Saccharomyces cerevisiae S288C: one gene and its partner. The gene in region 1 interacts genetically with each later gene. Each region holds a gene or a part of one and is shown in the gene's direction. Other genes may lie near its edges.

The links.
Region 2: mutations in MEK1 (region 1) and XDJ1 together harm fitness more than expected from each alone (negative genetic interaction), as found in Saccharomyces cerevisiae (3 studies listed by BioGRID).

Annotation. Positions count from the first base shown.
Region 1 is NC_001147.6:993,525-998,861, reverse strand, and holds MEK1 (serine/threonine protein kinase MEK1), read left to right. Parts: upstream 1-2,350; coding exon 2,351-3,844; downstream 3,845-5,337. Other genes in the region: SOG2 (Sog2p), read left to right, coding at 1-409; TFIIH complex subunit TFB6, read right to left, coding at 618-1,649; MNE1 (Mne1p), read left to right, coding at 4,007-5,337. UniProt on the Saccharomyces cerevisiae protein: Probable protein kinase required for meiotic recombination.
Region 2 is NC_001144.5:317,980-322,580, forward strand, and holds XDJ1 (Xdj1p), read left to right. Parts: upstream 1-2,721; coding exon 2,722-4,101; downstream 4,102-4,601. Other genes in the region: alanine transaminase ALT1, read right to left, coding at 258-2,036; GEP5 (Gep5p), read left to right, coding at 4,318-4,601.

The DNA of each region.
Region 1 (5,337 bases):
GTTAACTTCAGAGATATCCAAGATAGCCATTGCTAGCACCATGGGAAAGCAAATTTTGACGGACTCGCTAGCACCTAAAATTCGTGATTTGACGGAAACATGTCGTCAAGCGATGGATTTATCCAAACAATTGAATGAAAGGTTAAATGTATTAATACCGAACGATTCAAATTCAGAGAAGTATCTGACATCTTTGGAGAAGCTGAAAACGTGGGAGATAATGAATTCGTTCTTAAAAGTAATAATATCAATTCTGGCTAATACTAAAATCGTAATGAGCGACGTGCCTAATTTGAATGAGCTGAGACCTAACCTAGCCAACTTGGCGAAGATTACCAAGGATGTCACTGTGATATTGGACTTGAGTTCATACAAGGCTGTATCAGTAAGCGCCAACTCTCCGGAGTAATATAAAAACTTGCATTGTGAGAAAACGCGAACTTTAGAATACGTAATGGGAGGATCATATACCCCATGGTACTGAAATGTATGCTTTATATATATATATATATATATTTATATATTTATGCATGAAAAATGAGGAGTTCGGAAACAGAAGTTTTAAAAGTTACAGATTTATTGTATAAAAGATACACGCCACTGGTTGAATGTAAATGTTAAAATGAATTGGCATGGTCTAAAAATCCCTCGTAAATCTTGCTTAATTCATAATGGTAACCATGGATACCCTGGGATTCCAAAAATATGGGTAGGCGAACTCTTGTTCGTTCCGCGATACCTTTTAACCTCACAATATCAGTCCCATTCAATCCTGCTATGTTCTTGCTGGCTGAAGACGTTTTAGGGACTTCTTTGCAATTATCATTATCATCAGTTAGAATTACAAATATCCTGTCAAGGATGAAGAAGAGTTTGAATAATTTGGATAAAGTGTCATTAATCTCTGAGTCTTCCATATTTTTGAATGTAAATTTTTCAACGTAATCGATGAGATCGTCCGCAATTTTTATTAAATAGGACCCTTGACCAAAATAACTAGAATATCCGCATGTATCTTTTGGGTTTCGGGAATCTGGGCAATGTCTCTTTTCTTCTGATTGAAGTAAATAGTCTGAGTTTGGAACATGGGCAATAGAATACCAAACGAAGTCAACTAAAGTTTTTAAATCCTGCAGCAGCGGAGTAAGACTGGCATAGCCGTTTTTGATATTCAGGCCCCTGGATTGAACAAATTTTCTTTGAATTTGTAAAAGCTGATCATCAACGTAAGAGATGAATTTGGATTGTTGAGACATTGACAATCTTCTCGGGTGTGACGTTCCATTGTGATCATTTGGCAATAATTCACTCAGCTTTGTGGCAGACGAAAAGGGAGAAGACACGTTTATTCTAGGCTGGAAATCGTCAACATCATCGAGCATAGTTACGTCGTTGATTGTGTTGTTAGTTTCATTGTAAACATCATTGAATTCTGGTGTATGATATCTTCTTTTCTTATTACAATTACGCTGCCATATAACGTTGTCTATGTTAGAATTTACGACATCACCTGAGTCTGCACTAATTTCTACATCTGAGTTTGGATCCAAGTTTAAATCATCAATGTCTTTTTCATCTAGATCATTTAAGTTGTTCAAGTCCAGTTGCTCATTCGGTTGAGCATGTAATGGTGTGTTTGGCTCAGACATCAAAATACTGTGTTGAAATCTTTTATTTTTATAATATTTCTTTCCTTACCAGGGCTTGGAGTCTCTACAACAGTTAGCTTACTGTTTATTCTGCCACATTTCCACCCTTTTGTGGGGCTTCTATTTCAAGGACCTTCATTATGGAAACAGGGCGAGGTTGTTTGTTCTTCCTGCATGTTGCGCGCAGTGCGTAAGAAAGCGGGACGTAAGCAGTTTAGCCATTCTAAAAGGGGCATTATCAGAATAAGAAGGCCCTATGAGGTATGATTGTAAAGCAAGTGGTGTAAAATTGTGTGCTACCTACCGTATTAGTAGGAACAATTATGCAAGAGGGGTCCTGTGCAAATAAAAAATATATATCTAGAAAAAGAGTAGGTAGGTCCTTCACAATATTGACTGATAGCGATCTCCTCACTATTTTTCACTTATATGCAGTATATTTGTCTGCTTATCTTTCATTAAGTGGAATCATTTGTAGTTTATTCCTACTTTATGGGTATTTTCCAATCATAAAGCATACCGTGGTAATTTAGCCGGGGAAAAGAAGAATGATGGCGGCTAAATTTCGGCGGCTATTTCATTCATTCAAGTATAAAAGGGAGAGGTTTGACTAATTTTTTACTTGAGCTCCTTCTGGAGTGCTCTTGTACGTTTCAAATTTTATTAAGGACCAAATATACAACAGAAAGAAGAAGAGCGGAATGAGACCGTTGTATAGCTGCAACCTTGCAACCAAAGATGATATTGAGATGGCAGGTGGCGTAGCTCCTGCTCACCTGGAAGTTAATGTAGGCGGCTATAATACAGAGCAGACAATACCTATAGTAAAGCATCAGCTCGTGAAAGTTGGGAGAAATGATAAGGAATGTCAACTCGTTCTAACGAATCCCTCTATCTCCTCTGTTCATTGCGTGTTTTGGTGTGTCTTTTTTGATGAGGATAGTATTCCAATGTTCTACGTTAAAGATTGTTCTCTTAATGGAACGTATTTGAACGGTTTGCTTTTGAAAAGGGACAAAACGTATCTTTTAAAACATTGCGACGTTATTGAATTATCGCAGGGAAGTGAAGAAAATGACATTAAAAAAACACGACTAGTTTTTATGATTAATGATGATTTACAATCTTCTCTGGACCCAAAACTTTTAGATCAAATGGGTTTTCTGAGGGAAGTAGACCAATGGGAAATAACAAATAGAATAGTGGGTAATGGCACTTTCGGTCATGTTCTGATCACGCATAACTCAAAAGAACGTGATGAAGATGTCTGTTATCACCCTGAAAATTATGCTGTGAAGATCATTAAACTAAAACCAAATAAATTCGATAAAGAGGCTCGAATCCTTTTGAGACTGGATCACCCAAATATTATCAAAGTCTACCATACTTTCTGTGACAGGAACAATCACCTTTACATATTCCAGGATCTTATCCCTGGTGGTGATTTGTTTTCTTACCTAGCTAAAGGCGACTGTCTAACTTCCATGTCAGAAACTGAATCGCTATTGATCGTCTTTCAAATTTTGCAAGCTTTAAACTACCTTCATGATCAAGACATTGTTCACCGCGATTTGAAACTAGACAATATTTTGTTATGTACGCCAGAACCGTGCACTAGAATCGTCTTGGCAGACTTTGGTATAGCTAAAGATTTAAATTCCAACAAAGAAAGAATGCATACTGTCGTAGGCACTCCGGAATACTGCGCTCCAGAAGTTGGATTCAGAGCAAACAGAAAAGCATATCAAAGCTTCTCAAGAGCAGCTACGTTAGAGCAACGAGGTTATGACAGTAAATGTGATCTTTGGTCTTTGGGTGTCATTACACACATTATGTTAACAGGGATCTCGCCTTTTTATGGAGATGGTTCTGAGAGGAGTATTATTCAAAATGCAAAAATTGGGAAGCTGAATTTCAAACTGAAGCAGTGGGATATTGTTTCAGATAATGCCAAGAGTTTTGTCAAAGACCTTTTGCAAACTGACGTAGTTAAACGATTAAATAGTAAGCAAGGTCTCAAACATATTTGGATTGCAAAACACTTAAGTCAATTAGAGAGATTATATTACAAAAAGATATTGTGCAATAACGAAGGCCCTAAACTAGAAAGTATAAATTCAGACTGGAAAAGGAAGTTACCCAAAAGTGTTATCATTTCTCAGGCAATACCGAAAAAGAAGAAGGTTTTGGAGTAATCATAGGATTATCTCTTCCTCTTTCAAACTGCGCGTAGTTCAAAATAAAAAGGTATCTGTGTAAAAAAAAAAAAGTAAGTCAATTGTATGATTTTTAAGTAAAAGTTGCCCTTTTCTACTAGAAACGGCGAGAAAAAATGATAGTAGTGTGCCAAGAAGAATATGAAGTTACTTTTTAAAAGATATTCGTCTAGTCATATTGGTAAGCTGATTAAGGACTCTTTAATCACTCCTGAAATACTACCACAGCTAGGGCGACAGCCATCATCGCATAAACGTTTACCAAATAACAAAAGAACTAACTCAATAACTGATAAATGGTTGAAGGATGCGCTAACAAGAAAAGATAAACTGAATGAAGATAAGCTCCAAAATGTAAATTTACGATTAAATGTGGTACTGACTACTCTACAGAAGCTTCGTACATCCGATAATCCTGCTTTGTATTTTGCGTTGTTGAATCGTATTGGCACAGGTCACATAAAATGGCTAAATAAAAGTGGCCGACAGATTGATGCATTCCCACCTGATCGGCTGCCTTTGGAATTTTATCATGAGCTATCTAATATGCTCTATAAACTATCGCTTCGGTCCGCAAATGACAAAATTGCACTAGCTAAATTTTCATTGCAATTATTGGATCGCTATTATTTTCTTAAAACCAAATCTTTAACTATAGAAGGAAAATTTCGGGCAAACATAAAATTTTTGAGGAATTGTACTCTTTTAATTGTTAAATCCCAATCGAACTACTACTTAAGGGCAATACAGCGGTTGTTCGCGGAAAATTCGGAGGGTCAATTATTAGCCAATTTATCCCAGCTGGCATTTTATGTGGAGACCTCCCAATGGACAAGTATGTTGGATATTTTATCCTCATGTGTACCGGATTCTGGTTTAAGAGGTTCGAAGGAGCGTGAAAGAGCTATTCAATTGTTGGAGTTATTTAGTCCATGCCTAGTCAAAAGTCTAAAAGTAATGATAGCACAAAATATGGAGAATGAAGCTTGTCAGATTTTAAGGAGCTTGTCTGAATGGAACTTTCATTTTGATCAGCATGATTCCTCCAACTTGATACAATTATCCCAGAACCATTCTTGCCTCAAAGTTATTGAAACCATGAATGGATTATCATCAACTACCGCTGTCACTAGGCAATTCGGACTTGAAAAATTACCAACTGACGTGAGTTTGAAGCAGAGCATACATATTTTATCAAAAGATAATTTCGAACCTCTCAAGCAAGATTCATTTCTTCAATTTCTATCGTTTAAATTAAGTGATTTGCCTCTGAACTTAGAAGTATGGAAAAAGCACATTAAGGAGGTTGATGACCAAATGCAGGCTGAGTCCAACCTGCATTCCTTAAGAGCTTTTTTTATTGATATGCTACTGTGTCACTTATCTGTGCGCAAGGATTTCGATTTTATGCTTTCATTGGTCGAGCACATAGTATACGAAAAAAATTTATGGCAGCCATTATTACTCACAGA
Region 2 (4,601 bases), on another chromosome or scaffold:
CGGGTGTTCGAACTACGCAATTGATTTTATACGCACAAACATTACAAATCGAAGCAAAAGAAGATGAAATGATATGATATACTGATACAAATATGTATTAAATAAAACATAAGTATTGATGGAAACATGGCATAGAGAAGCGAAGATGCGATAATATCAAATAACTATATGTGAGTTGTGGAAGAAAGAAACGATCACATTATTATAATAAACTAGCTATTTAAATGTTTATTGAAGACTGTTCTGCCCCCTTTTATTCAGTCACGGTATTGGTCAAAAAATTCTTTATGGAAACTTTCCCATTTCTTAATCCATTCCAGACCAGGTGCCAAAAATGTTGTTCTTAAATGGTAAGTACCAGGTTCTTGACCAAACCCAGAACCGGGAACAGTGCAAATGCCAGTAGATTCTAACAACTTCTTACAATAAAATTCATCCGGAGTTAACTCTAAGTGGCGAGCTTCTTGAACTGCCTTGAAAGGTAAGTCTATCTTAGGGAATAAATACATGGCACCTTGAGGCTTTTGACATTCAATGCCTTCTAAAGAGTTAAATGTCTCATACAGTGTCATTGCTCTTGTAATTAACTTTTCATGGATGGAGTTACGTTCTGCTTGGTCCGACTCGAATGATTCCTCCCCTTCCACTGGTGGACGAACCATCAAATCAACCAAAGCTTGACCTGTGACAACGGGACACAATGAAATCGAGGCTAGTTTCAAGATAACTTGTCTCATCTCATGGCTGAATCCAGTGAGTTCCATGTAGCCACCCCTTTGACCACATTCACCAGAAACACCCTTAGAAGTCGAATGCAAAGAAGCTAGCTGAACATTATCGAATTTACCTGGATGTTCCCTCTGTAAATGTCTCAAAATTTTCTTCATAGAATGGAACTTGGTGCCCGGGAAGATATTTTCTTGATAAACTTCGTCAGCTATCACTACTGTACCGTACTTGGCTGCGACTTCAAAAATCTGAGCTATAGACTCAGGTGATAGGACAGCTCCTGTAGGATTACCTGGATTGATAACCACTAGAACTGTAGGTTTGATTTCGTTCTGTATAGCCTCTTTGACGACAGTTTCAATTTCTTCTGGATTAGTTGACCAACCTGAATTCTCATCTAAATAGTATGGTAAAGCTTGAGAATTGTTCAAAGCTAGAGTAGCGGTATATAATGGATATTGAGGAATTGGAATCAAGACACCCGTTTCTGGCCCTCTACAGAAAATTGATAACAAGTAATTGACAGCTGCGGATGCACCAGCAGTTAGGAAAATATCCTCTGGGTATGATATCTCGCCTTCGTCCCTCTTCGTTATAAATTCAGCGACACTTTTCCTTATACCTTCTACACCTTGAGAAGAAGAGTAAGCACCAACAGAACCACCGATATCTTCCATTAAACTCTTTGCACGTTTAATGGCATCTAGTTTAAACAATTTCGAATCAACTAGCTGCTGTTCGTTTTGGTTTAATAGTTCTGGGTATTGTAAGAGAGACAAGACCTGTCTGTAGTAAGTCAGAGGTTTCTGTTGTAGTTGCTGAGGATTACCAATATTGGCGTTGATAATCCTGTCAAATGGCAGAGATTGAGGATCCTTCTCCAGTTGAGCTTTCAATTCTTCAGCTCTCATTGGGATGGCACCTCTAACGGCGTACTTAGCCTTCAAGACATTTTCATTTACGTCTTCCAAAGTCAATTGTTCGGCGGGATAAAACTCGTTATTCGAAGTTTTCAACGTGTGGTGTGGAAAGCGATTCAAATGACGCAGGTCGTTTAGCGAAGATTGACCAGATAATGAACGTCTATGATTTTGAGCAACAATCCAGGAAGAGCTATGTCTCTGTAGGACGGGTCTAACTTTCCTGAAAGCTTTTAACTTTGTACTACTGGCTGAGGTAGAAAAAGGAGTAGTGATATGTGGCATTTTTTCTGCGCTTGAAGTGAGAGTCCTTATATGATATGACTTAATAACGTGAGTTATAGAATTACTCACTGTGAAGTGATTTTTGGCAGACAGTGATAACATCGTGGAGAGAGCAAAATAAAGACTGGGGAAATATATTTATATGCGTTCAATTGAGAAGCAGAAACAATTAAATGCGGGGGAGAAACAAAGAAGCTGGTCCTGTTCTCGAGCAACGTGTGACTAGTATGAACAACTAGAGTAAAATAGCGAGAAAGCAGTAGTAGTAACGGAAGAGCTTTTCCTAGTATGGTCCGCGGGTCACGATCGTTTACAAAGGGCGCAGCAAACTCTAAATACGTCAACCACAGCAGGTCAGAAGAGTACGTGAAGTTGTCTCAACGAAAGGTCGAAAATCGTTAGGCTTGGACCCCTTCAGAATGAAAAAAAAAAAAGACGCAAGAGTGAAAAAAAAACCAGTACTGTAAAAGCAGAAAACGTCTAATGGGAAGTGCTACTATGTAAGATTATATCATGAATGTGCTGTGTATTATATATGGATTATATAGCCACGAATATGCGGTAAATAAACATATGCATATATGTGTGTGGGGCAGCGCTCTGCTGTGCAATCCTTGTTTCTTTGTTTCTTGGGTCGGGATTTGAGTAGCGACGAGCCATCCTCTGCAGAAGGGAAGAAGAAAGAAAGGCAGAGAGGCAAAGAAAGAGTCAGGCTTATCTTATCTTAAGAGATATGCCGCTTGGACCCAAAAGAAAGGGAAAAGTAAGTACGCAGGTGTAGTTTTGAATGAGTGGCAGTGATAGAGGAGACCGGTTATACGATGTGTTGGGGGTGACGAGAGATGCGACCGTGCAAGAGATTAAAACTGCTTACAGAAAGCTTGCCCTGAAACATCATCCGGACAAGTATGTGGATCAAGACTCAAAGGAGGTAAATGAAATCAAATTCAAAGAGATCACTGCCGCTTACGAGATCTTGAGCGATCCGGAGAAGAAATCACATTACGACTTGTATGGTGATGATAATGGTGCCGCTAGCAGCGGTGGCGCTAATGGCTTTGGAGATGAAGATTTTATGAACTTCTTTAACAATTTCTTCAATAATGGAAGTCACGATGGAAATAATTTCCCTGGCGAGTATGATGCGTACGAAGAGGGCAACTCTACAAGCTCTAAGGATATCGATATCGATATATCTCTTACTTTGAAGGATTTGTACATGGGCAAGAAGCTGAAGTTTGATTTAAAGAGACAGGTCATCTGTATAAAGTGCCACGGTTCTGGCTGGAAACCAAAGAGGAAAATTCACGTTACACACGATGTGGAATGTGAATCATGCGCTGGAAAGGGTTCAAAGGAACGTCTGAAGAGGTTTGGTCCCGGTTTGGTAGCTTCGCAATGGGTGGTCTGTGAGAAATGTAATGGTAAGGGGAAGTACACTAAAAGACCCAAGAATCCAAAGAACTTTTGCCCCGATTGCGCAGGCTTGGGGCTCCTGTCAAAGAAGGAAATCATCACAGTGAACGTGGCTCCGGGACACCACTTTAACGACGTAATTACAGTCAAGGGGATGGCGGACGAGGAAATCGATAAGACCACATGTGGTGATTTAAAGTTCCATCTCACTGAAAAACAAGAAAACTTGGAGCAGAAGCAAATCTTTTTGAAGAACTTTGACGACGGCGCCGGGGAAGATTTGTATACAAGCATTACCATATCGTTAAGCGAGGCCTTGACGGGATTTGAGAAATTTTTGACAAAAACCTTCGACGACAGGTTACTAACATTGAGCGTTAAACCTGGCAGAGTAGTAAGACCTGGTGACACCATCAAAATCGCCAATGAAGGTTGGCCCATTTTAGATAACCCTCATGGCCGGTGCGGCGATCTGTATGTTTTCGTTCATATTGAATTTCCACCAGATAACTGGTTCAATGAAAAATCAGAACTACTAGCAATAAAAACGAATCTGCCGTCATCTTCATCTTGTGCCTCACATGCGACTGTAAATACTGAAGATGACAGCAACCTGACTAACAACGAAACTATATCAAATTTCCGGATCATTCACACGGACGATCTTCCAGAAGGGATAAGGCCGTTCAAGCCAGAAGCACAGGATTCAGCGCATCAGAAAGCAAGAAGTTCGTACTGCTGTATCCAATGATGGCATCAATAACTTTTTATTCTATTTTTTTTTTTTTTTCATAAGTTATCCTACCTGTATATATGTATATATATGAAATTCATTTACTGAATGCGGTGAAGAATGAAGTCTTTCGCACCTTCAGTAGAAAAATAGGAAGAATCCCCATCGCGGCGGACATAAAGCAAGCATACAAAGGCCTTCTATCAGAACAGCGATTGCGAACTTGGAGCAACAATGGCGTCCCAGGTTAACGCCTTATTACTGCCGGTCATAGAGTCTACGCCGCTTCATCAAATAACCAAGGTAGCATTGACGACCACACTCACAAGTAAACAAAGCGATTACAAGTTCAAAGAAATAGCCGTGCCGTTAACAAAATCACTACAACTGTACGAGAAGGCGCAAAGAAGACAAGATTTAAGGGCAAGCTTAAAAGCACTGGAGAGTATCATTTACCAAACGCACTTCCAATGGAATAACCCGCTCCCACGACATGCGCATCTCTTCCAAAAACACTA